Xenopus tropicalis: one gene and its partners. The protein of the gene in region 3 purifies or fractionates together with the protein of the main gene of each other region. This does not show direct contact. Links are inferred from orthologs where the notes say so. Each region holds a gene or a part of one and is shown on either strand. Other genes may lie near its edges. The genes, in order: hnrnpab, adar, dhx9, hnrnpr, ddx17, ddx5 and ncbp1.

Region 1 (4,503 bases), on a different chromosome or scaffold from region 3:
AATAGGTGCCCAGATTAGATTCTCCTAATATAAACAATTATACAATTCTCACATTGCATTAAAAGGGAAATTCACCAGAAGAGTTGTTTAGTGAAAGACTCAAACCAAGGCTTACAATGTAAACCTGCTAAGGAGCACTGACCGAGTCCCTTAATACTAGTGTACCCCTGGCAGACATTACTCCTGGTTTGTGGATCCCAAAGCAACATTTTATACAAACAGGGTAAAAAGAGAGATACATGCGTTAGGAATAAAACATTGCATAGTTATACTGGCAGTCCATTAAAGCAATGTACAAAAAGAGTCAGATTTAGATAAACAGAATTGTAAAAATAAAATACCCATCACACAACATCAGATTTGTAAGGCAAATACATCTTCTGTATACAGCACATGTGCCTTAGCTACATTTGCACTATCCTAGTAAAGCGGGGACTGTACTTTAAATAGTATAAGTGGGCAAATGCATTTTTTGTTTAAAGTAAAGTAAAGAGGCAGTGGTGAAAACCAGAGCAGCACGATCACCAACAAGGATTTAGTAGCCACCTAACTGCTCTCCTAGATTCCTAGCACTTGCCCTGAATAGCTCTACATTAGCACTACTTCATATTGGGCCATCCTGACAGGCTCTGACCCAATACCCCAATTTAACTGGCAATAGGTTTAAATAGAATTGCTAATTTGGTCTTGAATTAGAACAGCTGGGTCATACAAACCATGCCAAAATCTGATATGGGGCAGTTGATTTAGACAAAACCCCAAAAAGCCTGCACATCTACTGGCAAAGAATGCCAGACTAATTTTTGCTAAAAATGAAAAAATGAGAAGTTGCCCCTTGTGTGGGGTAAATTTCTTGCACTTAACAGTGAGATTAAACAAAAACCATGACTTAATAGGAAAGTGTTTAGCACAAGACACTGATGGAAATTCTGAACAAGGGGGTGTATATTGTTTTTAACTCATTTCCTGTACAGTGCAAGTCTAAGGATATTGCATAAAGAATATCTATTTTTTTCCTTCAAGCAGGATGTAAAGCCAAAACACCACATTTTAGCCTAAAAGAAAAGTAACATTTTAAAGTTCATTAGAATTACAATCTCCAAATTATACCATTTGATAATAGTAACTGAACACAGTACATTTGCCACCTTCTGCACTGTTATAACATAACAAGTGTTGCCCCTACATGCTTTATTACAGATCTGTTACCAGTCCAATCTCTGCTACACTGCCAAACCATCAGGTGAGAACAGAAAATGACAGAGGTAATGCTTTTAATAGCAGCAATTCTCAAAAAAATACAAATTTGTAATTAATGATTGGAAAGTTTAGAATTAGTTGCTTAAAATTTTCCAAGAGAAATTTGTAATCTATAAACAGATCAACTGTTGCCCTGCCACCCAAGTGCTGAAGGTGACAATGTGTTTCACTGCATAGTCAATGAAAAAAATATACATGGTCCCAAAGCATGAAATTACAAGTTTAGGCTACATGCCCCTGCAAACTGGTCTCAGAGTGGATTCCTACTCCCAGTGTAAACAGGACAGTCGATCACTCATTTCAGAAGCAGGGGCAGATTCTGTATAAAACACATCTATTCAGATTGAAAGCTCTTGAGAGCAGAGCCCCTGATCCCTTATTGCTGTAGGAAGCCACTATAAATAACCAGTGTTGTGCTGTAAAAAATAGGTAGAATCCTGTGGAATAAAGAGGTTATACAAGGACAACATTTAGTCCCCTCCAAAAGCAGTCTGAAACAGGGGGGGGGTGATTAAGGATCAACTTTGCCAGAATTTGTAGGGTAACTGACCCAACAATCTTATAACAAGGCTATGACTGAACATTGGCCCAAAGTGGAAAGTGAAACCAATAGATTCAGCAGGCAACCCTGATGGAATGTGTAAAGATGCAGTAGCCAGAATGGCATAACAGGCTGCAGACAGCAGTAAAAATAGTGAGTAGTTACAGGGGCAACAGTGAGTAGTTACAGGGGCAACAGTGAGTAGTTACAGTAGTGTTTCTATTTAGTTGCCATGGCTGCAGCATCTCCTGCATGGGGCATAAGGAGCTGACAAAAAGCACCACTCTGCAGTCGCACAAAGCCTCAGATGGACTGTGTATCTGCAGTGGCCCTGATAAGCTTTATCACAGTCTTCCTGGTAGAAAATAATCCTGCCTAGAGGATAAGTGCGCAAATAGAACGGTGCAGAGGGACTATGCGTATATATAAAGTTATCGGCCGATGAGTAACCCCCCCCCCCCAGCACACACAGGCAATGGCGCCAAGGCGGCAGCGGAACAAAGGAAGCGCCGATACAATCCCCCCAGCCCCAGAGAAATATGAAAGATAGATGAAATTAACTTACACTCCTTCAGTTAAAGGGGAAGAAATATCAGGTACGCACCCTGCGTCCTCCTCGCCTTTGCTGGCATTGATCTGATCGCCTTCCGCGCCGTTCTGGCCCCCGGGCACCTTACTCTCCGCGGCCTCAGCATCGCACGCTTCGTGCCCGTTCTCGGTGCCAGTTTCCATGTACTGTTGCTGCTCGGTATCGGACATTGTGAGGGGTTTCTATGCACTGAAAGGCTGGGAGGGAAAGCGGAGAGAGAGAGAGTGAATCCCGGGAAAAGTAAAGTAGGAGCCGCTAGGCCCCGGGCACACAGGCCGACAGTCGCTGCTAACCCCGCAGGCCCCACTAATAAGCACATCTACCCCATAATACTCTATTGCGCATCCACTCAGCTCCCTGAGCCAACAATAAGCCCAAGTGGCACATAGTGCAGCCCGATAGGGGCTAAATGCCTAGCGGGGTACAAAAGAAAATCGAGCGGGATTCCAATAAGCCATTTACCCCATCGCAACTAAGGGAACAGCCACCCATCACCGCGCCCGCCATATTGCCTACACAATAACAAACGGGAAAAACCCCACTGGCCCCTAAGCTCCATAAATCCCACGCACAACCCCAACATTTTCCCCGTTCTTACACAAGCGCCAACAATCGCCAAATTCCTCCAAGATGGACTCTCCCAACAATGCCAACTCGTGGCTACCTTTATAGAAGCCGGATCGCCGCACCCCGAAACACAACCTACTCTGATTGGCTAGTGCGCCACAGCCATTGTATTGATCAGCAGGCGCGATTGGTGCGTTGTGTCCGAGGAGGGGCGGTGCCTGTGAGCTCATCTAAACATCGCGATCTCTTCTTTACGAGTCGTTCTACATGAACGCCATCATAGTTCGTAGATTCCCCCAAATCGGCTATGGTTTTGGTTGTGTATTTACTTCGCGGAGAGGAAACAAATTCCTTTTATCGAAGCTTCATCGCAACCGCCGGGCGTAATCTTTCGGCTCGCCCAGTGTTTCCCTTGTTTTTATGATCGGCCCTGTTTTGTCCTTAATGGGGTCAGGGAGGAAATTGCAATAAAAATACTGTAAAACTGACGAAATGCTGCTTGAAAACTCTTAGCGGACATTTTTTTTTTCTATGGGAGATTCTGAGTTTAGGTGTGATTAAATGCCAAGAGATTGCACATAGAGAATGCTGTAACCCAACAGCGTGAGTGGGGGAGGGGGGATTACACGGGGGGCTGTGCTCCTCAACAGATGGGATGCGCGGCGGCCCCTATAATGGAGCTCAGCTGCCCCTGCCAGCTTATAGTCTCCTCTATACAGCGCTATTGCTCAAATCCAAATATGTGTGTGTGTGTATATATATATATATATATATATATATACAGCGCTATTGCTCAAATCCATATATATATATATACATAGATCTTACAACCTATATCTATAATCTAAATATTTATATTTGGTTCTCTGTATTTCAGGTGGCAGGGTAAAAAAAAAGGCAAAATTCTGCTCTACTTTGCATAAGGAAAAGAAGTAGAGCAGAATTTTGCCTTTTTTTTACCCTGCCACCTCAAATAAGGAGAACCAAATCCACATATTTAGATTATAGATTTAGATATAGATTGTAAGCTCTATGGGGCAAGGACCTCCATCTTCTTGTGTCTTTGACTCTTATTGCAACTGTATCTTGTATTTATTTGTATTTATTGTAATACTTTGTATTTATTATTATCTTAATAACCCCCTATTTGTATTAATGTATTCTACTGTACAGCGCTTTAAAAATAAAGATATACATATATACCTGCCACTTTCCATTTGCTCTTGCGTGACTAGATTTAGCCCCAAAAAATGATTAGAGCATCAGCCCAGTGAGTCCCCCCCCCCTCCTGGTTGCCCACAGTCACCGGCTTGCCAGACACTGACAGTAATTTGTACAGGAATCATAAGTGCGTGATGTAGAATTGTCACCTAAAATTCTCACTGGTCCCTGCAGCACAATTGGGGAGCAAGGGCGGAGCTAATGTGCGCACTGATCAGGGCTGGCATCTCTGTTCCCATTTAATTGCCACCGGCCTTATGTGAATAACCCTGGGGATATAAATAAGCAGTTGTGTGGCTTTTCTGTCCTTTCCTACTGTCCTAGA
Region 2 (3,941 bases), on a different chromosome or scaffold from region 3:
GGTCCCGAGCATTCTGGATAACAGGTCTTATACTTGTATATTTAAAGCTTAGTTTTTACCTTTCCTTCTACTTCCTATAGTGTTAGTAAAACATACATTGAAAAGGATTGATTACCTTATAAATCCCCGACGAGACACAATCTCTGCGTGGCAATCATTAACCGTCTCTCCTCTCAGGCTCAGTTCTTCTCCCTTCACACAGCGGTTCCCTATTGAGACAGACACGGAGAGACTGCTGTAGGGGGTACAGAATGAGGAGGGATACTAACGGCAGGAGAAAGGTGAGAGGTACCTACCAGTGCCGATGCTGACCACGGTGCCCAAGTCATCACTGCTCTTCTTCATGATAATAGCAGCTAGGATCTTTCTGCCCAGCAGACTGTTCTGGATTCGGGCTGTAAGGCTGTTGAACTTCTGGTGACTAAGCATGGCAATCTGGTCGTGGAAAGTACTTCCGCTCACCGGGAGCTGCAGGACAGATACAAGGGAGACGCTTAGGCAAAACTGACAAGTTTCATTGGCTGGGAATAAAGCTAAGCCTACAGAAGCCAACTTTCAGAGCATTATAATTGGTATTATATATATATATATATATATATATATATATATATATATATATATATATATATATATACCAATCTTGATTTCCAAAAGGTGACCAGTAAATACTACCTGCTGATTGGCTGCAATACGTTCCTAGGCAAGGTGCAAACATAAGACGATTTATTACATTACCAAAAAGTCTGATATTAGAAGTCTAAAACTGCTAATATCTGGAATTAATGTCAACTGTGAAAGTGCTCAGAGGACCACTAAGGACCCATTGGGGATGCACCGAATCTACTGTTTTAGGATCCGGCCGAACCCCCCCCCCCAATCCTTTGCAAAAGATTTGGCCGAACCGATAAGGAAGGATTAAAGAGAACCGCACAGTGAAAAAACTTCGACTTCCGGGTTTACGTGACAAAAAGTCACATGATTTTAAAGGGGTGGTTCACCTTTAATTAAGCTTTTAGAATGGCTAATTCTAAGCAACTTTTCAATTGGTCTTCATTATTTATTTTGTATAGTTTATGAATTATTTGCCTTTTTCTTCTGTTTGCAGCTTTCAAATGGGGGTCACTGACCCCGGCAGCCAAACCCTATTGCTCTGTGAGGCTCCAGTTGTATTGTTATTGTTACATTTTATCACTTTCCTATGTAGTCAGGCTATCGCCTATTAATATTCCAGTCTTTCGTTCCAATCAAAGCCTGGTTGCCAGGGTAATTTGAACCCTAGCTGCTGAAATTCCAAACTGGAGAGCTGCTGCAGAAAAAGCCAAATAATTCAGAAACCACAAATAAAAAATGAAGACCAATTGCAAATTGTCTCAGAATAGCGCTCTCTACATTTTACTAAAACTTGGGTTGAAGGTGAAAGGAGTTGTTCACATTTGAGTTAACTTTAGTATCATGTAGAAAATAATATACCTTGACATTTTGCCATTGGTCTTCATTTTTTTTTTTTTTTATTACCTGTAGTAGTTTTTTAGTTATTTCGTTTTTAGTTCAGGAGCTCTCCAGCCTGGAGTTTCAGCAGCTATTTGGTTACTAGGGTCCAATGTACCTTAGCAATCATGAAGTGGTTTGGATAAGAGACTGTTATATGAATAGGAAAGGGACTGAATAGAAAAGAAAGTTAGAAAAAGGAACAATAAAACTGGAGCCTCACAATAGGTTTTGGCTGCCGGGGTCAGTGACCCCCATTTAAAAACTGCAAAGAACTGGAAGAAGGTGGCAAATAATTCAAAAACTATAAACAATAAATAATGAAGAGCAATTGAAAAGTTGCTTAGAATCAGTTTTCTGCATCAAATTATTTAAGCTTAGCTCCCTCTGTCGCCCCTACCACATTCTCTCGGGGCTACCTACCTCCGTCATGACGTCCCCTTCCCGAGCCGCCCTTTCCGCTTCGCCGATTAGGACCCTCAGTGCCGCGTCGGCAGCTTCTGCCTTGGCCTGTTTCTTGTTAGAGGCGCTGACAGCTGGGAACCAGCGACCGCCGACCTTTGCTTGAAACACAAACCTGAGAGGCAAAGACAGATGTGAGAAAATGATAGGTCCCTGTTGATTGGATGAGGCCTATTAAACCAAAAACTAAAGGGATCATAGGAATTCGAGACAGGGCTTGTAGGGAGAAAGTGGGTCAGGGCTCGACTAATTATTCGCTATCATTGACCAATAATATCATCAGCTTCAGTTAGTCAAGGGTTCACCTACTTGGGGTCATGGGGGGGTCCAGTTTGGTTGACCATTTTAAACTCAGCGGCAAACCCCTTGGCACGAGCGTACTCCAGAAGGCCACTGACCGGGTTGGCATTGAGATATTTGATCAAGTCCCCGACGCTGGACGCCTGGGCCATTTTCAGATCTTCCACAGAGAGTTCGGGGACTGCAGGGAACTCTGTTGGGTTGGGATGGAAACTGGGCTCCAACTAAAAGGCAAAAGAGGAGATACGTTGGCTTTGTCACACCACGCCCTGGCTGGGGCACCTATCTAATCGTACGTTTGAAGGGCAAACAATGATCCTAGCAATCAGGAGCAGAGTTAAAGGGGAACTCCCCCCAAACATTTTTTCTTCAATTAAAAAACATGCAGCCATTTAATGCTTTTTAATGTAATTATATGGTTAGGAACAGTTCCCTAAGCAACAACCCCTGTTGATCTTGAAACTCAAAAAAAAAATAATAATCTAACAGTTGACTGTCCTCAGCCTGCATCCCCAAATCCCACAATTCCCTGCACATGTGATGGTAATAAGGAAAGGAACATCCCAGTGCAATGCATTGTGGGTTATGTAGCTGTGGAGTCGTTACAATTTGTAACATCAGTGTTTTAGTCCCTCCTCCCCTGCCAGGATTTCAAATGATGCAGAAGGTGAATACCTGTTTTACAGCTGGATTTCTGCACATAATAATGGTATTTATTCCTACTTTTTATGAAGGAACAGATTAAAACGATAGGTATATTAGGGGTTTTTCAGTTGTGCGGGGCTCTTCAACAAATTTTGGTTGCAGTTCCCCTTTAAAGGGGTTGTTCACCTATGAATTAACTTTTTGTAGGATGTAGAGAGTGATATTCTGAAACAATTTGCAGCTGGTCTTCATTTTGTGTTTTGTTCAGTAGCTATTGTGTTTTGTTCAGTAGCTATTGTGTTGCTAGGGTCCAAATTACCATGGCAACCAAGCACTGGAATATGAGTAGGAGAGGGCCTGAATAGAAAGAAAAGTAATAAAATTGCAGCTTCTCAGAACAATAGTTTGTGGGTTTCTGGGGTCATTGAATGCTGGAAACGGTTGGAAGAAAAAAACTAATAATTTAGAAACCATCACAAGAAAAAAATGACGACCAACTGAAAAGTTGCTAAGAACTGGCCATCTTATAAACAAACTAAAGGTTCATTTCTACCCCTTTAATATAGAAACTCTAAATAGTAAAGTGCCATTATGAATGTAAAAGCTGGATACCCAAGTATAAGAGGTAGAATTTCTCAAGTCTGTCTGGTTTGTTTACCTTGTCAGGCAGCAGCACGCTGTCTCCCAGGAGCTCCCTCACAGCAGCCTCGGCGGCTAGCTGTTTGGCCATCTTCTTGCTGTTAGCCACTACAGGAGGGAAGGTCTGGTTTCCAATCCTTACAGTATAAGTGAACCTACATATAAGCAGCACAGTATAAGCACAGGCAAAGCACAGATCAGTCCACTCAAATAGTTCCCACCAATTAAAGACACCGATTGGCTATCGAATCCATGAATAAAAATCTGATTTTGACTGCCGGGGTCAGTGACCCCCCCTATTTGAAAGCTGGAATGAGTTAGAAGAGGAAGGAAAATCTGAGCTGTCAATCATATATTGCCTTCCCCGCCTCTATGCTTCAGGCATAGGGGCAGGAAATTACTTTCGC
Region 3 (3,941 bases):
ATTCCTCCAGCTTTAATATTTGGACCTTGTACTCTGGATTACAATAAGATAACTATCTAGAACAGGATTGTCACAGTTGGAAATCTTTGTTTGGACATGCTGACAAATGTAATTTACCATCTGTAAACATAATTCAGTATCATGCATGTTCACCGCCAGCAGTGGAAACACAGATAGAGGCCAGAAGCAACCAGTTCTTTTGTGTGCAGTATATGAATGGCATCAGCCTGTCATTGTGTACATGAACATTTTCTGCAAAAATCAGCTCCCATTTGCACAGTGACAGGCTGATGCTATTCATATCACTAGCCACACAGTGGAAATAGTGTATTGGCATTTTCTTTGCCAGCAAGAAACAGCATTGTGTGCCAGAGATGGAATATATGATGTTTTAGGCTGGAACTCTTCTTTATCTGTGCTTTTTCGGTGACTCCCTAACAAGGTGAATAAATGTGTTACGTTTAGGTCTGTACATGCTTTCCTAACACTCTAATAAATGTTTTGGCAGGAGCTTTATTGCAGAAATGACCCTGTATGTTAAGCAGCTTGGAAGAAGTAAGTTCCCCAACTAAATATGCCATATGTATAGAAGGCATCTACCTTTGTACTCTCTAAACCTTTTGTTTAATATTCAGGAATCACGGCAAGAGAACATGGATCTAATAAGAAATTGGCGGCACAATCTTGTGCCCTTTCAATTGTCCGTCAGCTGTATCATCTAAGTGTAATTGAACCATACTCAGGACTGACAAAGAAAAAGGAAGGGGAGGCTGTAAGTTCCTTGTAGATAACCATCTGCATTGTAAATATTGTTTTTTGTTATCTTTGGATTATAATTGTCTCAAATGCAAAGTTTGTGGGTAATCTTAATTGTGATTCATATAATTAACTTAATTTCATTAGGAATACCCCAAAAACATTCTGAAACAAACAGATGCTGCTGCTTCTAAAAATGCTGTTATTACTAAGATGATACTAATGTTTCTGTCTGGCAGGTGGAACCTTATCAAGTGAACTTAAATCCTGATGTGGTGAAACAGCTGCAGAGTACTATTCAGGAGCTAGGAATTGAGTTACCATATCCAGTAAGTGTTTTGTAGTGTGCGTTTTTTTTCCCCTTTCCCTTTTTTGCTTGTTTTAATATAATTGCTGTGTTTTTCCATAATAGCCCCAGGATCCTAGCCAACCTGTGTCCCTTAATTTGGGAAAACTGGTACACTTTGAGCCTTCACAGAAGCAGAGTCACTCTGGTGTGGTGCCATGGTCTCCCCCACAGGAAAACTGGAACCCATGGACAAGCAGCAACATTGATGAAGGACCTCTGGCATTTGTAAGTTTTGTAGTTTCAGAAAAATAAAATGGTTGAATTTGCCTTCTTTTGGGTTAAATTTTTAAAGTTACATTGGCATCTACTTTCTTTAAAGGCTCCCCAGGAGCAGATCAGTGCAGAATTAAAGAATGAACACATGTATCACATGCAAGATCCTAACATGAAACAGGTTGGTTGATTCAGTTTCTAGACTATGCAAAAGTTTTTATAATTGTGGCTTTTGCTAAGCCTAGCACCACTATTTTTTCTGAATGTTTACAGTGCTCAAGACTGAACTGTAAAAACATTTGTAATCTATAATGTATTCAATGGTGTTTTAATATGTATTCTTTCAGTGAGTTCTTGCCTTTCACTTTTTAGGTCTTGATTGATCGAGAGTCTCTTCCTGTTAAGAAATTTGAGGAGGAAATAATGCATGCTGTGCATAACAGCCCTGTTGTAATCATCCGTGGAGCAACAGGCTGTGGTAAAACTACACAGGTCCCACAATACATTCTGGATGAATGTATTCGCAATGATCGTGCAGCGCAGTGTAATATTGTGGTTACACAGGTATAGTTCTGGAAATCAATTCTATGTTACTTAAACATAAAATAACATAAATGATGCAGTGGGTAGTGAGGTCTTTTTTCCTTTTCTATAGCCTAGAAGGATCAGTGCAGTATCTGTTGCAGAACGTGTTGCTTTTGAAAGAGGGGAAGAGATTGGAAAAAGCTGTGGCTACAGTGTGCGTTTTGAATCTGTTCTTCCCCGTCCGCATGCCAGTATGCTTTTCTGCACTGTGGGTACGTATTGCTTAATAATGATGGTTTTCCTTGTACAGTTAATTTATTTTTCTCTTGACAATATTATTAATATTTTCAGGAGTCCTTTTGAGGAAACTGGAGGCTGGGATAAGAGGAATTAGCCATGTGATTGTGGATGAAATTCATGAGCGTGACATTAATGTAAGTTACTCATTAAAAATAATTGAAAGGTTGCTTGGCTATGTTGATCTAACTATAACATTTTAGTTAAAGACTAAATTTTCCCCTTCCCACTTAGGACCCTCAGGCTGAGTAGCCATCTCATGCCTATGTTAATTATTTATCTCTACCACTGTTCAACAATATCCTAAGAAATATTAGTATAGTGTATTAGAAAAAAAAATATCCAAGAAATATGCTACTTTGTTTGCTGCAGGTTTTTTAAGAAATGTTCTGTCTACATTTATTGTAAAAGATTTTCAGTTTTAAGGCCAGCTGTCCCTTTAATATCTATTGGCAGAAGTTAACTCTTATAGTAGAGTATTTATAGAGGCCTTACTCCGTACTGATGCTACTGCATAAGGAATATAGTGTAAAGAATTCACATCAATATTTATATACTTTTGTATATGTTTTATTACTACAAGTCTAAAGGACATGTGAACCCCAAAAATAATTTTTTGCCTAATAAGAGAAAACATAATTCTAAGAAACTTTCCAATATCAATTAATTAAAAAATATTAGTGCTTTAAAAGTTATTTGTAAATATAATTGCTATAGAAAGCAGCATTTGCTGAACTCCTGGTTGTTACTTTTGAAACATTATTACAAGTGCCAGGCTCCTCCAGCAAGGCAGGTCTGTAAAATCTGCTTGCGTTTGTTACATTGTTTCAGTCGCCAGAGCACCCAAGGCACAGAATGGAATTAATAGCAGTTATGTTTCCCCTGACACTTTAGTAACAGTTATCTATACAAATAACTAAAAAAAAAACCATTACAGATATGTAATAAATATATATTGCAAAGTTGCTTAGAATTAAGTTTTCTTTTATTAGGCAATTTTTTTTTTTTCGGGTTGACAAGTCCTTAAAGCTTTATGTTACATTAAACCTTCCCCAAAAGCACCTTTATAAAAAAAAAACTGATTATTTGGCTGTCAGGTTAATGGCACACTGTGCACTTTCTCTGCCCGTGACGCAAACACTGATGCTGCCCCACCCCACCTCTGCGCAGCAACAGGCATGGTTTCACCTTGTATCATTACTTTTAGCGCAGTCTATGTCTAGCATGGATAGACTTTTTTTAATGTACACCTCAAGCATTTGAAATGGTACTTGAATTACTTGGTCACAGATAGACAAAACATGGTATTAGCCTGCAAAAAACTAAAAACCTGCTGTGAACTTCACAATAAAGGTGTTTACAGGCTAATATAGCTTTATGTCAAAAGTTCTTTATCTTTTTTTTTTTTTTAGATCAGCTCCAATGATAGGTAGATTTGTTGCAGGGTATCTAGTTGTTATGCACCCATCCCAGTGGTTCTAGTCACTTACCTTCTGGTGGTCTACTTTGCCATAAAATGCGCTTGCCTGGGATATTAGGGAGGGAGCACAATCTCTTTTGGCTACATTCAGCTGAATGCATGTGTGGTAGAGTAAAATCAAAATGTATAAGTTAACCTTTACTATGCATGCACACATGCCTGGTATCAGAGAAGGAATTGCAAGGAAGGCAGCCATGGCAGTGACAATGGGAAGGTAGCAAGATTGCAGCTCCCTGACACCTGTATTGCTAAAAGTGGTAGATATCAGAATACCACTTAATAGTAAAAATTCCAAGTCCAGCTTAGGACTCCTCCAGTTAC
Region 4 (4,592 bases), on a different chromosome or scaffold from region 3:
AGCCAGACTAAGACCTAGGCATATACATGTTGCAATTCCACTACTTTCATGTCCTCGGCAAATATGCACTACTGCAGTAAACCACAGCAACCATGACTGATTCAGGTAAAGAGTTACTTTTATTACTTTACTTGTAGAAGACTAATGGAAATCCTGTACAAATTAGTTGCAGTGGGGTATGGAATGTGGAGTGGGGTATGAAAACTTAACTCAACCTGCAGATTTAAGGTTGTCATACACGCACAGATATTATCATATGAAACAAAGTTTTGTACGATAATCGGTGTGCGCACAGTGGGAGACAAGGCGACCGCTACTGGTAAAAGCCTTGGATATCAGTTGTCTCACCAAGGACTGAAAATTTTGAAGGGGCCTGAACATTGTAAAGTTAATGCTAAATTGTCAGATGGGGTAAATAATTTCTCTGTTTTTACCTGCATACCTGACGATTCAGCTCTTAACGTTACTAGAGAGGATGAAAAATCTTTCATATGCCCAATGGTTGTGGGAAAAATCGTAATTACCGCGTGTATGCTGCCAATGTATGAGGATGGTCAGGCCATTCCTAAACACCTCTCATAACCTCCCTACTCTTCAAAAGCCCCTTTCAAGAAACCAAATCTGATATTACTCGGAACAGCTACTAAAAAAAAAATTTTGATTGAGAAGAGATGTCCTCATCCATATGCAAAGCAGAAGGAATTTTTTGTAAAGGAAACTCCATTTCACACCCTATAGACAGAAACTCACCACTGGGTTTTAAAGCACAGCCAGGGTAGAAATCCAGTCAGCCTACTGTCTTGGCAGTGCTTTATAAACCCAGTGGGTAAGGATAGGGTATAGAAATTAAGAGCAATCCTGGGCTTCCTTCCCAGAATTCCTTCTGCTAGGGATAACTACACAACAGCATTTTAATTTGGTAGGTAAAATACCAAGCATTTCTTACAGGTACTATATTAGCTAAGTTGACAGCACTTTAGATGAAGCAATATGGAGCTACTAGTAGCAGCTACTTGTCACTGCTACAAAAACAGACATTTACTGATAATCCTCTCTACGAGTGTTTAGCAGATGCAATTCTCAGTATTGTCTATGGTAGGGTATTTTCTGGCATTTAGTAGCGGTGACAAGTAGCTGCTACTAAGTAGTTCTGTGTGTCTTTGCCCTTATCCCATTTGAATAAAGTATAGGCATCATTTTTCTTATCTCCCCAGCCTGTAAAAATGTATATAGTAATAAAGAAAAGGGCTACTAATCCTGCCTCTACAATCTTCAATCCATTGACTAAAGGCAGCCATACATGGGCAGATTTTGGCTTCTGATTCAGCTCCTATAGTCCAAGTTGGTAGCTTATCTGCCCATGGGGCACTCCAATGGGCCTACCTGACCAGAGACCCAGGCAGGTGAACAATTACAATCACTGGGTTTTTAATAAGATAATTGCTTAAACCCCAATCACTTAAACACTAGATACAGTTTCCATGTGTTAAATTTTTTTTAGGGTTGATGGTGTGCTTTTAAAGGACTGTGATCTTAGCATCAAATAGTTCAAAATGAGCACCAGAACTGGGGAAAAAATAAGATAAGAAATGAGGATCAACATCAAGTTATCTTAGAATGCAACTCGGCTTTTTGTTATGTTGACAAAATTGCAGGGGAAGCAACATATAAGAACCATTTAAGATCTGTATGTATTTACATTTAACCAACGGAGTCCAACTTGTGCGCCTGTTATCCACTATAGTACATTTTCAGCGAGCATATTAAATTAAACAATGTCAGGCAGTTGTGTCATGCGCCCATAGGCAGTCAGGGTCTCTCAACTGACAACTAATTTACTTTGTTTAGAAAACAACCACCATAAACAATCAAAAGTTATGGCAAAATTCCTTGCCACATTACCGATAGGTAAATCACAACACAAAACGGTTACTGGAGCTTAGCTCCCTTTATAGTGAGAACAAAAAACACTTTCATTTTAACGCATCATTTTAATTGCTACTAATTAATTAACTGTACAATTAGAAACTGACACCGATTCCAAGTGCCAAGCCAGAAGAGACTAAACTGTGTCTCTACAGCTGCTGCAAAACCTCACATATCAAAGCCCTGTCCAACAAAGCTGGAAACTACATTTTCAATAGCTATGAGTTACATAACATTGCACACTATGCAATATAAATAAGAGTATAAAGGGCACATATATTAACAAATGCAATAAATGACAGCCCATAAAAACTAGCCCGTTTACTATGTTAGTGCCCTAACGCAATTCAGCACCCAAGTCATGGACCTCTACATACACTGAACACAATAGATGCTGCCCATTTAAAATGAATGGCATACACCTTCAAACAAGCTACAATGAACATTTAACCATTCCATATTTTTTCCGGAATTCCATTAGCATTATACATTGTTTTGCAGTGATTTTTTTTATTGAGGTCTGAAGGATAGTATTCATTACTGCGGAATACACACCTAACTGTTCATACAGTTTTACATCTACTCCAATTTAAAACGCAAAAAGGACAAGTACAATGGCGGCGAAGGTTGTCATACTTGGCTGCTATTCAGGTTCAAACATTACAGCTTTGCGGAAACCGTGGCCGGACGCTCAGAAGCGTACGCAACGAGAACAGAGGAAGCCTACTCACCTGCAGAGCTATGGCCCTCTTGCCTCACGCCCGCTGTTACAGTGAGCTAGTAAAATGGCGCGCCTCACGGACTGCGAACCACCGCCTTCTCTATCCCTACTAAGCCAATCAACAATACTGGCCGCGGGGTCCACACCACCAGCTGCCAAGGACTAGCCTATTGCGGGTAGGAGGAGACGAATAAGCGGGAGGGAAGGCGTTACACCTCAGCCAATTGGGAAGCGGAGTACATAATAGGCAATGGCAGACTTATGAAAGAAGTGGTTCGGATTGGTGATTGCGAGAGAGTTTGTAGCTAATGAAATAGCTGCCTCTGGGATGGCTAAGGATGGAAAGGAATGGGATGTGAAGCTTTTCGGGGTGGAAGACAATGCTGCTGGCTTTCAATGAGCTATTGTTTGGACCGATTAATATATATCGCATGTACCAATATAATGTCTGTGCTGCATGTTTAAGTCCAGTTTCGTTTACACACACATATGCATACATATATATGTACGTACAAATATGCGCACTTGCAGTACATTCGGGTACAGCTTAGATGAAAAGATGAAAGGCACGGTTATATGTATGGGTGTAAAACACCAAAGCTGCCAAGGAGAGTCAGTGTTCGCAGCGTTGACATTTCTACTCTGCATATACCACAACTTTCACAAGCAGTGATGCAGTGTAATTGCATTTTTGTTGTTCATATATCATAAATACCAGTATGGGCTCTATTACCCGGAAAGCTTGGGACCTGGGTTTAAAGTAATGTAATGAAAATCAAGATGGCCTCATAATGTGGAGCTTTTCTGGGCATTGGGTTTTCAAATAAGAGACCCCAAATGCTGTTGCTAAAAGCAGTACATTTACAACAGAGGGAACAGTGCTTGTTATACACAAGTTTCACAGAGGAACGTGACACAGGTTATCACATTACATTAGTAAGCGCTGTTTATAGATATAGCTATTAATATCACTCACAATGATCTCTGTGCAGTGTCTGCAGTCATATTAGTCAGTTCCAGTAATTCCAGGGCTGGTGATCAAAATCCAGGCCTAGCCCATAATAACAATAATACAAAATTTGCTAATTGTGACACAAAAGGGGTGGAATTTGAAAACTACATTCTGTGCATTCATGAGTAATATTTACAATTTATATGGATGTATATTTATATGAATATGTTTAGTTATATAGGGTTACTTGTGCCCTGCATCACTATACCTAATATTAGGAGAAAAGACAGATGTCAATATAATAATAAAATATAAATACAAAACATAGGGGCACATTTACTAATCCACGAATCCGAATGGGAAAAATTCGGATTGGAAACGAACACTTTGCGACTTTTTCGTATTTTTTGCGATTTTTTCGTCGCCGTTACGACTTTTTCGTAGCCGTTACGACTTGTGCGAATTGTAGTGACTTTTTCGTAGCCGTTATGATTTGCTCGTATATTGTCACGACTTTTTTGTATTGAGCGCTCGTAAACGGCGGGCAAATCTTTCAGACTTTGCATGATTTTGGAAGCCTCCCATAGGACTCAATGGCACTCTGCAGCACCAAACTGGCCCAAGGAAAGTCACGATACTGAAGCTTGAATGAATCCGAAACTTTTGTACTCAGCGCGACGGCTACGAAAAAGTCGCGACAATTCTCGCAAGTCGTAACGCTACAATTACGAAAAAAGTAATCAATTACTTTTTTACGAAAAAGTCGTAACGGCTACCGATCATTACGAAAAAAACGCATTCGGACGCTTTTCGGACGTTCGTGGATTAGTAAATGTGCCCCATAGTGTTAGAGACAAGAAGAACTTAAAATATATTTCCTTTAGAAATACATTGGTGAGCTTGTTTTTTCTACAGTCCTGACTATAAGCAGCGCTGACTTGCTTTGTCTGTATAGGGCAGCTGTTACAAGTTATGCCCCACAAAGAACAATGG
Region 5 (4,696 bases), about 20 Mb from region 3:
TTTTCGTAATGATCGGTATTTTTCGATTTTTCCGTAAATTGTCGCGACTTTTGGGCCGGGTTGGAGCTGCAGAGTGCCATTGAGCCCTATGGGAGACTTTCCTTGGGCCAGGTTGGAGCTGCAGAGTGCCATTGAGCCCTATGGGAGACTTTCCTTGGGCCAGGTTGGAGCTGCAGAGTGCCATTGAGCCCTATGGAGACTTTCCTTGGGCCAGGTTGGAGCTGCAGAGTGCCATTGAGCCCTATGGGAGACTTTCCTTGGGCCAGGTTGGAGCTGCAGAGTGCCATTGAGTCCTATGGGAGGCTTCCAAAATCATGCAAAGTCTGAAAGTTTTGGCCGCCGTTTCCGAACACTCAATACGAAAAAGTTGCGTCAATATACGAGCAAATCGTAATGGCTACGAAAAAGTTGTGACAATTCGCGCAAGTCGTAACGGCTACAAAAAAGTCGTAACGGCGACTAAAAAATCGCATAAAATATGAAAAAGTCGCAAAATGTTTGTTTCCAATCCGAATTTTTCCCATTCGGATTCGTGGATTAGTAAATGTGCCCCATTGTCTGTGCCTCCCATATGAACTACATTGGGTTGCTCAGTAAGGGCTCTGGCACACGGGGAGATTAGTCGCCCGCGACAAAACTCCCTGTTCGCGGGCGACTAATCTCCCCGAGTTGCCTTCACCTGCCATCCCACCAGCGACAATGTAAGTTGTGAAGGCAACTCGGGGAGATTAGTCGCCCGCGAACAGGGAGTTTTGCCGCGGGCGATTAATCTCCCCGTGTGCCAGAGCCATAAGTGGGGAAAGCTGCCTGGCTGGCAGAGAGAGACTGGGAATTTATGAAACAGATTTGCCGGTTTCTCCCACTATTTAGCAGATTTAGAATGATATTCAAAATAAGCCCTATGGCATCCAATTTTCATTAGTATCTTAGTCATAAAGTATTACAGATTTGTCCTTATGAGAAGAAGAAGGGCAATAACAATTTTATTTGGCAACACCAAGGGGTTGCGCCTCTGCCATGCAGTGCTGGGGTCCTGAGTTCAGTCCCGGACAGGGTGCTTCCTGCATGAAATTCTTGCATTAGTTCTTCTGTACCCCCACTTACCCCATCCTCCAAACACATACAGGCACTTAACTGGCTTCTGAATAAACTGAGCACAGTGTGTGTGAATGTGATAGGTACCTTAGATAGTTAACTCTGCTGGGGCTGGGCCTCATACATAAATATTTATTAAGCACCTTGGAGATATTTCAACACTTTATATGTATAGACCAATAAATAAAAAATAAACTTCCCTGTTCAAAACTACTACTTACTATAACGCATACTAAACACACTGTTCTCAAGACACGAAAACATTTTCTGACGCTTTAGTCCAATTATTTGCAAAAATTGCAAATGGAAGAACCTAATATACACTCAAACGGGGCATAGCTTTGTTTTATTAGTCAATGAGGGTCTACGTTTCCAGACGCCCAGCATTATTCACTTGCTTGTCTAGAAACTGCAAGTCGATAACAGGTAACACCAACAATAAACATCGCTTCCCGTCTCAAAAAGCAGGTCTCCAAAGCAGCCACGCCTTCTATTCCTCTGATTGGCCAGTTGAGATGTCACGCCTTGCCATCACACCATTTTCCAAAACAACAGGGTGAGATGCGTCACAGGAGGCTGGTCGCTATTCTCTATTATCTGTACGCAAGTGGTAGTGAAAAGGCCATTTATACAGGCGGTCCTTGCGCCCGTATTGCGTAAAGTCTCCATTTCAAGAAATCTTAAGAGAGCGGAAAAGAACTCGGACGCCATTTTGCGTGTTGCTCAGTTTTAGAGCACATCAGCTGTTAACTTTCACTAAGGAACCCTGCCTTTGGATACTGTTTAAGCAGCGTTGCAACGCCCAGGGTTTAGAAGGTTGAACGGTGTCCCAGTGTCTCTTTGGTTATACGAGCAGATTTCAAAATGAGGGGAAGTTTTATGGATCGCGACCGAGGCGGGTGAGCGTTGTTTTGATACGGGCATTTAGCTGCACATTTAGGACGGCGAGGCATTGAGCACTGCATAAATAATATAAGGTTTGATAAGCACATCAAGCTCCGAAGCATTGGCTGAAAATGCGCACTGTTCTCAAGAGGTATCGGGTTTGTTGACGCAGTATAGCGTTGTTTTTGCGATCTGCGCCGGAGCGGAGCGACACAAAGGCACATAGGTGCGACAGCTGCCTCTCACGGTTGGTGGGAGCTGGAATTCGCCAGGAGTTGAAGCGCAGTTTTCCCACCCATTCCTTGCAGTGCTGTGTCCGCCATTACGTGTAAAAGCCTCTGTTTTATTTCAAGGGTAGCCGTGAGCTGAGCGCCATTTAGTTATTTATAGAGTACATAGACTTGCATTCCTCCTGCCCCCTGTGCAACGTGTATAAATAAAGTTTAATTCCCAGTTCTCTATACAGGACATATATTAATTGGGGGCAATAATAAACCCTGAGAATAGGGAAATGATCCCACCTCACACACAGTTTTGCAGGGCCCCCACCAGTAACCTGCACCTTCAGCACAAACCCATGGGCAGATATATTTTTTGTCTGTGCATAATTAGTAGGAATGTATTTCTAGGTGCTTATTATCCATTCACTTTGGATACTGTCTTGTTTTTCATTATATCAATTAATGTTTCTGTCCTTGCTGACCCCCCTTCCTTTCCACTACACCAGTGGCCTCAAAGCAGGTGCCCATTTTTGCATTTCTGACTTGAAGTTGAAGTTTTGGAGGCATAAAGGCCATGTGAACTGCTACAGAGAGCCTTCTGTAGGCTGCTTGTCCACATTGGGCTACCAAATAACCAATCACAACCCTATGGGCTACCAAATAACCAACCACAACCCTATTGGTCACCCCTAGGAACTTTTTTTCATGATTGAGTTGCTTCCCAACTGTTTAATAATTATATGTTGCTCACAGCTAAAAAGGTTGGGGACCCCTGCACTACACTCTAAAGGCTGTGACACACGGGGAGATAAGTCACTATGCGACAAATACTCCATGTCACAGGCGAGTAATCTCCCTGAAATGCCATCCCACTGGCTAGAAGGTAAGGCTGATGCCACACAAGGCGTTTTTTCTCTCGGCGGCTGAAAAACGCCCGATATCATCATCCATAGAATTAACTTAAAAAGACTCGAAGCAAACCACACAATGCGGGAATACACTAGAAAACGCCTTAGCATGGATTTTTCAAGCATTTGCCAAAATACGCCAGTATTTGCACAGCAAGCTATTCCTATTTATACACAAAGACAGCTGCCAGACCTAGTGGAAATACACGGCGTTTTTTACTATTTCACACTATTAGCACCATGGAAACGGGATTTGCTACGTCTCCAGTACTAAGCTGAAAAACGCCATAGTCAGGGGCTGTGTGGCTTGTGCGGCGTTTTGAGGCTGAGAAAAAACGCCACGTGTGGCATCAGCCTAAATCGCCTGTGAGATGGCATATGTGGCACTGCGATTTGCCAAAGTTTCCTTGAGAGAAACTTCGGCAAATCACAGCGCCACGTATGCCACCCCACCGGCGATTTACATTCTTGCTGGTGGGATGGCATTTTGGGGAGATAAGTCGCCCGTGATAAGGAAGATGTGTCGCTCGGCAAATACTGTATATACTCGAGTATAAGCCTAGTTTTTCAGCACCCAAAATGTGCTGAAAAAGGTCACCCTCGGCTTATACTCGAGTCGGTTGCCATGGGTCCCTCCAGACCAGCACCCTCTGTCCTTTGTGTGCAAATTAGGCCCCCCCCGCAACCAGACCCTCCAGTGCCCTGGCCCGTCCCAAATTCATCTTCATCTATCATCCTTACCTGTCCTATTCTGCACTAGACATTGCAATTTATATTCTATATAAACTATACATAGTTTTGAAGGATTTTAACTCTTTGTGTTTTAGCTTGGTTGCTGATTGAGCTAGTTTACTGTATTTCTTTTAAATAAATATTTAAAAACATACCCCACTGATGCCTCCATTAATGTAATTTTATTGGTATTTATTTTGATTATTGAAACTTAGCAGTAGCTGCTGCATTTCCCACCCTAGGCTTATACTCGAGTCAATACGTTTTTCCAGTTTTCTTAGGTAAAACTAGGTACCTCGGCTTATACTCGGATCGGCTTATACTCGGATCGGCTTATACTCGAGTATATACGGTAATCTCCCCATGTGTCAGAGCCCTAACAGCAGTCAGCCCCTTGGGATTGTTCACTAAGCATCAGCTTTTTTGTTTCCAACTGGGGATGTATACATTTTTTATATGATGTAATGAATAGCTTTAGGTTATAATATTCAAAAAGTGCTAAAAAAGTCTCCTGATATACTTTGTTTTTATTTTTTGGATGACTAGTGGTGCTGGTATGTCACGCTTTCCAAAATTTGGAAACCCCGGGGAGCGTCTCCGGAAGAAACGCTGGGATCTGAGTGAGCTGCCAAAGTTCGAAAAGAATTTCTATACAGAACACCCCGAAGTGGCACGCATGACACAGGTGAGTCTGGATGAGCCCCTTCTGTTTTTATGACCATAGGCATGTTTGGGCACCCATGATTTTCTTTTAACGTACCATGGCGGTCAAAATACATGTCTCCACATGCAGCTTGTTATGGTTTGTTTTTTTTTCTATGGGAAAGCTCTACTTTTTACCTGTTTACAAAAATC
Region 6 (3,321 bases), on a different chromosome or scaffold from region 3:
ACTGGAAGCAGACAGCCAATTTCCACTAGTCCTCCATCCCCTTGCGTCCTCCGAATGTCATGCCTAGGCCTTGCCACAAAGACCGCACCTTTGTGAAAAACAAAACTCAAGAGAATTGCAGAGGTTAAAGAAAGCAAATCACTTTCTTTAAAACAATGACATTTCACAACAGTCGTCCGTTCATTGGCTTTCACCGAGCAAAAACAGATTGAACGTACTAACCTAGACCTCTGGAAGCAACGTCTGTGGCAATCAGGATAGGCGATTTACCGTGTTTGAACTCTGCAAGGATGGAACACAGTTTTAGGAAATGCAAAGAACCTATAATTGCCAGCTTAGCAATAATGTGCACAGCTTGCCTACCATTTAAGACCCAGTCACGTTCCTGCTGGCTCTTATCACCATGGATTCCCATTGCAGGCCACCTGTAAGTACAAAACATTCCCCTCATCATGAAAGAAAACACTTTCCATAAAGCACCAGCATCTGGAGTTTAAACAGGCCCCTCCCCATTTTCAATATTAAAGAGACATAGAATGGAAGTGCAATAGCGCTCATGGAAAGTTTGAAATCATCCTTACCCATCCCTCCTCAACCTGCGAGTCAAGTCATCACATCGCCTCTTGGTCTCAACAAACACTATGGTCTTATTTTCTTTTTCACTCATAATTTCCTCCATCAAACGAACAAGCCTTAAAGAAAAGATGCAATTCATAAATCCAGCATCAACAGGTCAACGTTTCAGTTAGCATAAGGCCGTGCTATGTTAAAGTAATGCCTTAGGGCAGCCAAAATGCTATTCTAACCTTCATGGCTAACTGCAGCCTGGCACTGCTACAATGTGTAACCACAGCTGGTAATGGACAAGTTAGCCAGATGAGAGAGTGGTGAGTGGGAATTAGAAAAAGTTTACACATTAATACAAACTCACTTTTCATCCTTCTCCCCATCATTACACACATCAACAATCTGAAGGATATTGTGGTTGGCACTGAGCTCCAGGGCACCAATGTTAATATGAACATAATCTCTGAGGAAGTCTTCAGCAAGTTGCCTGACTTCTTTGGGCCAAGTGGCACTCCACATCAGCGTCTGTCTGTCAGGCTAGAAACAAAACAAGCAGTAAGTATCCCACACAGTTGGAATGACCATAGGAACATAGGAGACATCCTATAAAAATATACCAGTGATTCATTCTCCTAGATATGGAAGGATTGCATTTGTGTTTTGGACTTAGTGAGAAATTCCACCAATATACCAGTAGTCCCCCCGCCCATCTGTTCCACTTCCTGCTGACTGAATTCTCTGAATGTGCAGGGGAGCCGGCAGCTCCCAGTACACTGCACTGTAGGATAGGAACCAATCAGCAGCTAGGCTGACCTGATATGGAACTGAAGCCTGGCTTGTGCGAGTGCAGGGCTGCGATTGGTTTTCCCTAGTACTGTGCTTCTGGCTGGGACTGTTAGGCATTTATCCTAGGTCTCCTTTAAGCAAAGCTGCACTTACTCGAATTTGATCCACTATCTTTCTGATCTGAGGCTCAAAGCCCATGTCAAGCATCCGGTCAGCTTCATCCAGCACTAGATATGTGCATCTGTTCAGATTGGTCTTTCCTGCTTCAAGGAAATCTATCAGCCTTCCGGGTGTAGCAATGCAGATTTCAACTCCTAAAGAAACAGCATTGTTTAGAACCATAGCAAATGGGAGATATCAAGGTACACAGGACATATTGTGAGATGTCTCACCTCTTTCTAGATCACGTATCTGTGGTCCCTTTGGAGCTCCCCCATAAATACAGGTGGACCTCAAACGACAAGCTCTCCCATACTCAGCTGCCACTTGTTGAACCTGTTGAGCCAATTCCCTGGTTGGTGCCAGCACCAAAAGCTGTAAGGAAACATGTTAGATTATGGTTTATGTCTTTACAGAAATCTCTGGAAATAGAGATGTGGTTCTGAAATCTATTCCCACCAGATTGTAAAAGGTACATGCAGAGTTCTATTCTTGGAGAAAGCACTGCACTGTTCTAAAGCTGCAGATATTCTGACAGACTGCATGGTTTTGGATTTGTATGAAGGGCTAGCAATGTTGCTCTAGATTCTGTTCTTTTCCAGAGCCTGTGATGCAGATCTATTTTCTCCATCTTGATCACTGACAAAGCAAGAACCCTAGCACCCCACAGGTTTGTATAGTCTCACCCCAGCCTAACAATTTGTGGCATTTTGTCAACATATTTAGGGGTAAGCACTGTATAACTTCAATTAACCTGAATGCAGTACCAAGTGAATTCACTATACAAATACCAACAGAACCTATTCATTTCTGCCAAGTATAGAATAGCAGCAATCCACCGACACAATTTACTTGATTGCTACTACATGGGATATTAAGCTTAGACCTGCAATTCAATCACCTTAATTAGGGGGTGACTGTTGCTCAGAGAAAGCTGTGCTTTTATAAAGTTCTGGTCAGTAAGATTGTTACAGTCTAACCCCATTGCCAAGCCATCCCTAAATACACCATGCCCTCAGAGAAGGTTTCAGATGTTCTGCAGTAAGCCTACTTACAATTGGACCATCTCCTCGCTGTAGGAATGGCTGATGGTTGATATGGACAATCCCAGGAAGTAGATACTGCAAACAAGATGTAAAGGGTTAACTTACTAACATTTGCACATGTGCCAGCATGAACAGCATCACCAGCCTAGTACTTACAGAAAGGGTCTTTCCGGATCCAGTCATTGCAACACCAACCATATCCAGCCCACTCAGAGCCACTGGCCATCCCTGCCCTTGAATAGGAGTGGGGTCAGTGAAGTTCTGCCGTTTAACCACTTCCATGAGATTGGCTATAGGGAGACAGAGCGGTCAGGCCGATTCCAACACAACATAAAGAGCTGCAGAGATGAGGGGCAGGGGATTTACCTGGGAAACTTGCTTCATGGAACTGCAAAACTGGCTTTGGACAGTTAAGCCCTCGTACGGTGATCTCTTTGCTTCTTCTGTATTGGTCACATTCTTGCTGCAAAACAAAGTCCATATTGGATTTAGTAATCTGAGCAACCCCCCTGGCCATTTCAGTTAGATAGTGTAGTGGCCCAATGAACACTCATTTATTTACTATAATTACAGGGGTCTAGAGCACCCAAATCTCTCCATAAGGAATGTCCCAGGTAAATATCCACCCTATCCAACAGCAGCAGGACAGGACAAAGCACTGATCTCCATAGCAATCATTTACAATACATAATAACCACCCGTGCTAGCCAGCCAGGCAGTTTCTATGAAAAGATGGTGCCATACACCTAGGGCACAGCCCATG
Region 7 (3,941 bases), on a different chromosome or scaffold from region 3:
TCACACAATATGGAGGTATACATTAGGCCTTTGAAAAAAAATCTTGCATGCTAGTGGAATCTATGCTTCCAGGTAGCATTTTGACAAACTGAAAAATCTTTTGCAGTCGAGAATGTGAAATAATTCAGCCCATTAATTGATTTGATTGCAGTTGTTTTTGGATGCAGTATACAGTCAGTCACAACTGAAGAAGGCACTCTGAGTTTTCTTGAAACCGTTTCACCACTCAAAGTTTAGTTTTAGACTTAATTCTACTAAAAACTGTAGTCACTACGTTCATATTTGCTTGGTACTGTGTGAGGTAAAAATGTTTTGAAAAGTTACAAATTCATTTTTTCCTCTTGTATTCCAATGACTCCACTTATAGGTTCGTTTTCTTTGTGACCTTGTAAATTGCCATGTAATCGCAGCTCCATCAATGGTAGCCATGTTTGAAAGCTTTGTTGGAGTCACTCAGGAAGAAGATATTCCCCAGGTAAGTTTGAAACACCAGCAAAAGAAGGCAATATACATATGAAGAGACAGTGATTAAAATAAAAATGTAAAATTAGGCCATAAAATATCCCTAATGTGTTTCATGCCTGTTGGGGCACTTGTAATTTAATTACCAATGTGTTTTGTGCCTGTTGGGGCATTTACTCAAATGCTAGTCTATTATTTTTGTTTACGTTAAGGGATGCCTTTGGATAATGACAATTTTGGACAATTACACCATTCCTATTCTTTAAATAGCTTTACTTTATAGTGTATATCTTTGTTTTTGGTCTGTTTAAACACAGTATTCAGTATACATATGAGTTCAAAAAGACTGCCTGCATAATTGATTTATTTTAAGAAAATGATTTGTACCCTAAAGAAAGCCTATAGAAACTGTTTTCTACTGATATAATTAAAAATATTTTCTTTTGTTTCTTCATACTTTGGACAGTTGCAAAACTGCAAGTGTTGGAAATGTACGCAAATGTTGCCTAAAGAAGCCAATCTGCCACTTTATACACAAAAAGAGTTTTGCCTATACTCATAGTGCACTTGTCATTAGTGATGTATGGGTTGACCCGAAACCCACAGTTTAACTTGCTGGTGGGGTGGGTTTGGATTTAGATTTGGGTGACCATTGCAGGTTCAGGTTGGGAGCAGGTCAGACTGGTGAAGTACACTCCTGCTCCCAGAGGCATGCACAGAAAAAGCATACAGAGTTGGAAGATGCGGGTGGTATGGGTTGGGTGCGGGTCCTACAATGGCAGTATTTTGTGGGTTAGGGTCTGGTATGGATTGAGTTTTTTCTGACCAACACACAGGGCTGTCGAGTCGGTACATAAATTCTTCGACTCCAACTCCTCAGTTTATGGTACCTACAACTCCTCTGAACACCAAAAAATGAGAGCAAAAAATTAATATATTATATTCTTTTGCTCTACACTGGTAAAAGTTGTGTTTGTTTCAAATCTCTACTATTGTTTATATAAACAAATGTGCTGTGGGGGTAACTATTCAGATTGAAAAAGGCCCTTGTTACATAGCAGAAAACAGATAAATTGTGTAGATTGCTATTGTATTCTGCAGAGTGTATCTGTTATCTGCTATGTAACCTGTGTCTGTCTTCTTTTTATCCAGCTTGAAAGGCTGACCCCGTGGCTACAAAGCAGCTTTGTTTATATAAACTATACAAGTCTTTCTGAAGCAAACATGACCCTTTTACCAGTGCAGGGCAAAAGTAGATGACATTTTAATTCCTTTAAAACATTTTTATTTTTTTGGTTACTGTTTCTTTAATATACTAATGTATTTCCATGTTGCTTGAAAGAACTAAACATACAAGACACTTCATCACTGCCAAAGCTCATCAGCTTTAAAGCTATATCAAGATGGTGTCTTCTTTTAAGAACAAACCAAAGAACTACTGGCTAGGAAGCTGATGCACTAACCTACTGGCCATCCAAGCCTGGCACTGCCAACATGGATGAGGATACTGTTCAAGTTTGGGTCTAATCTATAACTAAGCCTATGTCATTGTGGCTTTTTGCTTTATTAAAGAAACTACAAACATTCCTTAAACCTAAAGTTTAAACAGAAGACAAATATGAATACAATAAGCTTCTAAAAGCTCTGCTGGACTTCACCCTAGTGAAACGGCTATGCACTGGGCTATATTCTTACAGCAGAGAAGTACAGGTATGGGACCTGTTATCCAGAATGCTCGGGACCTGGGGTTTTCCGGATAAGGGATCTTTCCGTAATTTGGATCTCCATAACTTAAGTCTGCTAAAATTCATTTAAATATTGAATAAACCCAATAGGATTGTTCTGCCTCCAGTAAGGGTTAATTATACCTTAATTGGGATCAAGTACAAGGCACTGTTTTATTATTACAGAGAAAAAAAGAAATCATTTTTAAAAATTGGAATTATTTGCTTATAATGGAGTCTATGGGAGATGGCCTTTCCGTAATTCAGAACTTTCTGGATAACGGGTTTCCGGATAAGGGATCCCTTACCTGTACTTTATTATGACTATTATCTTGGAAATAGGACATTGTAACATATTGATTTTTTTTTTTTTCATTACAATTTAAATTTGTTAGGTGTTGGAGTCGGTACATTTTTGCCAACTCCAGGTACCCAAAATTGCTTCTGACTCCACAGCTCTGCCCACACATTACTACTTGTCATATATCCAAAATTAGCTGGAGTTAGGGTTATTAAATTAACCCTTTCAAACTGAATTCACACCTTCTTTTAGAATCTTACTGCAAAATGAAATATAAGAATGCTTTGATTACCTCTCTAATGTGACTCTCAAGCATGTGGTCAGAGCCATTGTGTAGTTTAAACCCATTATTTTAATTGCAGGTGCGAAGTGACTGGTATGTATATGCTGTTCTTTCTTCACTGCCATGGGTTGGAAAAGAATTATATGAGAAAAAAGATGTTGAGATGGACCGTATTTTATCCCAAATTGAAGCTTACCTGAAGTGAGTTATTTCCCAGTTCTTGTTGTGTATTTGTATTCTCTAAATTGAGCCCACAAGTTTTGGCTTGTGCTAATCATAGCCTATAAGGTTTTATGTATGTACAGTCAGTGTTTATTTTTTAAAAAAACGAAAACTAAGATTTTATTTTCCACCCTTAAGGCAACGTCAAAAGCTCCATGTATCTATTCTACAAGTATGGTCAGCAGAAAAACCACACCCACAGGAAGAGGTAAGTTCTTGTCTTTTAATGCATTCTTTTAAATATATAATATATACACAAAGGATGGCACACCGCTACATAACATACCTCGGGTGCTCGGTAAAGGGTTCCAATAGTCCCCGATGGGGACCGAAACGTTACGTCGGCTGTTTATGCTACTTTGAATATATGTTTTGATTTTTCACAAGAAATCCCGGAGTTGCTGGTCTTTTTTTATTATATATATATGTATATATATATGTATATATATATGTATATATATGTATGTATATATATATGTATATATATATGTATATATATGTATGTATATATATGTATGTATATATATGTATATATATATATGTATATATATATATATATATATATATGTATATTAAAATTTAGTGGCCTGCATTTTTTCTTCAGATGCCTAATAACTTACCATTGCAGGCTTTAAAGGGCACCTATTATCTACAAATTGTTTCCCCAACTGGAGATGCAGCCATATTTTAGTCTCTAGGCTCATTCTTTATTCACATATATGTGATGCTACACGAGCATAACATCGATACAAGTGTGCGGACCAAGCCAAAGCTGGGAAGCTGTTGTTAATGTCCCAACATGGCCACCTGCACCAGGAGATCCCGGTGGGTGACTAAGCATTTAGTGGGGTCAGGGGAACATTTTTTGTATGGTAGGTGGCCTTTAATGTTTAATGGATGCTTGTAGGTTTTTCTTCACATTTCTGAATGTGCTGATTTTAGCCTTGAA

The links.
Region 1: the proteins of dhx9 (region 3) and hnrnpab purify together in Homo sapiens (affinity purification with mass spectrometry; 3 studies listed by BioGRID and IntAct, with this or other methods). This does not show direct contact. The link is inferred for Xenopus tropicalis from reciprocal best matches to the Homo sapiens genes DHX9 and HNRNPAB.
Region 2: the proteins of dhx9 (region 3) and adar purify together in Homo sapiens (affinity purification with western blotting; 3 studies listed by BioGRID and IntAct, with this or other methods). This does not show direct contact. The link is inferred for Xenopus tropicalis from reciprocal best matches to the Homo sapiens genes DHX9 and ADAR.
Region 4: the proteins of dhx9 (region 3) and hnrnpr fractionate together in Homo sapiens (co-fractionation; 3 studies listed by BioGRID and IntAct, with this or other methods). This does not show direct contact. The link is inferred for Xenopus tropicalis from reciprocal best matches to the Homo sapiens genes DHX9 and HNRNPR.
Region 5: the proteins of dhx9 (region 3) and ddx17 fractionate together in Homo sapiens (co-fractionation; 3 studies listed by BioGRID and IntAct, with this or other methods). This does not show direct contact. The link is inferred for Xenopus tropicalis from reciprocal best matches to the Homo sapiens genes DHX9 and DDX17.
Region 6: the proteins of dhx9 (region 3) and ddx5 fractionate together in Homo sapiens (co-fractionation; 3 studies listed by BioGRID and IntAct, with this or other methods). This does not show direct contact. The link is inferred for Xenopus tropicalis from reciprocal best matches to the Homo sapiens genes DHX9 and DDX5.
Region 7: the proteins of dhx9 (region 3) and ncbp1 purify together in Homo sapiens (co-immunoprecipitation; 3 studies listed by BioGRID and IntAct, with this or other methods). This does not show direct contact. The link is inferred for Xenopus tropicalis from reciprocal best matches to the Homo sapiens genes DHX9 and NCBP1.

The regions. Positions count from the first base shown.
Region 1 is NC_030679.2:31,076,468-31,080,970, reverse strand, and holds the start of hnrnpab (heterogeneous nuclear ribonucleoprotein A/B), read right to left. Parts: upstream 3,006-4,503; 5' UTR 2,989-3,005; intron 2,588-2,988; 5' UTR 2,561-2,587; coding exon 2,406-2,560; coding exon of another isoform or gene 2,367-2,405; intron 1-2,366. UniProt on the Homo sapiens protein: Binds single-stranded RNA. Has a high affinity for G-rich and U-rich regions of hnRNA. Also binds to APOB mRNA transcripts around the RNA editing site.
Region 2 is NC_030684.2:142,283,049-142,286,989, reverse strand, and holds part of adar (double-stranded RNA-specific adenosine deaminase), read right to left. Parts: intron 3,690-3,941; coding exon 3,554-3,689; intron 2,475-3,553; coding exon 2,260-2,474; intron 2,066-2,259; coding exon 1,912-2,065; intron 469-1,911; coding exon 297-468; intron 210-296; coding exon 116-209; intron 1-115. UniProt on the Homo sapiens protein: Catalyzes the hydrolytic deamination of adenosine to inosine in double-stranded RNA (dsRNA) referred to as A-to-I RNA editing.
Region 3 is NC_030680.2:100,157,547-100,161,487, reverse strand, and holds part of dhx9 (ATP-dependent RNA helicase A), read left to right. Parts: intron 1-508; coding exon 509-555; intron 556-635; coding exon 636-772; intron 773-995; coding exon 996-1,085; intron 1,086-1,168; coding exon 1,169-1,330; intron 1,331-1,424; coding exon 1,425-1,499; intron 1,500-1,690; coding exon 1,691-1,882; intron 1,883-1,973; coding exon 1,974-2,115; intron 2,116-2,194; coding exon 2,195-2,277; intron 2,278-3,941. UniProt on the Homo sapiens protein: Multifunctional ATP-dependent nucleic acid helicase that unwinds DNA and RNA in a 3' to 5' direction and that plays important roles in many processes, such as DNA replication, transcriptional activation, post-transcriptional RNA regulation, mRNA translation and RNA-mediated gene silencing.
Region 4 is NC_030678.2:82,773,170-82,777,761, forward strand, and holds the start of hnrnpr (heterogeneous nuclear ribonucleoprotein R), read right to left. Parts: upstream 2,856-4,592; 5' UTR 2,658-2,855; intron 1-2,657. UniProt on the Homo sapiens protein: Component of ribonucleosomes, which are complexes of at least 20 other different heterogeneous nuclear ribonucleoproteins (hnRNP). hnRNP play an important role in processing of precursor mRNA in the nucleus.
Region 5 is NC_030680.2:120,510,140-120,514,835, forward strand, and holds the start of ddx17 (probable ATP-dependent RNA helicase DDX17), read left to right. Parts: upstream 1-1,817; 5' UTR 1,818-1,959; coding exon 1,960-1,994; intron 1,995-4,387; coding exon 4,388-4,526; intron 4,527-4,696. UniProt on the Homo sapiens protein: As an RNA helicase, unwinds RNA and alters RNA structures through ATP binding and hydrolysis.
Region 6 is NC_030686.2:51,537,467-51,540,787, reverse strand, and holds part of ddx5 (probable ATP-dependent RNA helicase DDX5), read right to left. Parts: intron 3,022-3,321; coding exon 2,925-3,021; intron 2,849-2,924; coding exon 2,715-2,848; intron 2,634-2,714; coding exon 2,568-2,633; intron 1,888-2,567; coding exon 1,746-1,887; intron 1,668-1,745; coding exon 1,507-1,667; intron 1,105-1,506; coding exon 932-1,104; intron 693-931; coding exon 582-692; intron 426-581; coding exon 364-425; intron 283-363; coding exon 223-282; intron 1-222. UniProt on the Homo sapiens protein: Involved in the alternative regulation of pre-mRNA splicing; its RNA helicase activity is necessary for increasing tau exon 10 inclusion and occurs in a RBM4-dependent manner. Binds to the tau pre-mRNA in the stem-loop region downstream of exon 10.
Region 7 is NC_030677.2:107,420,205-107,424,145, forward strand, and holds part of ncbp1 (nuclear cap-binding protein subunit 1), read left to right. Parts: intron 1-367; coding exon 368-475; intron 476-2,849; coding exon 2,850-2,971; intron 2,972-3,130; coding exon 3,131-3,200; intron 3,201-3,941. UniProt on the Homo sapiens protein: Component of the cap-binding complex (CBC), which binds cotranscriptionally to the 5'-cap of pre-mRNAs and is involved in various processes such as pre-mRNA splicing, translation regulation, nonsense-mediated mRNA decay, RNA-mediated gene silencing (RNAi) by microRNAs (miRNAs) and mRNA export.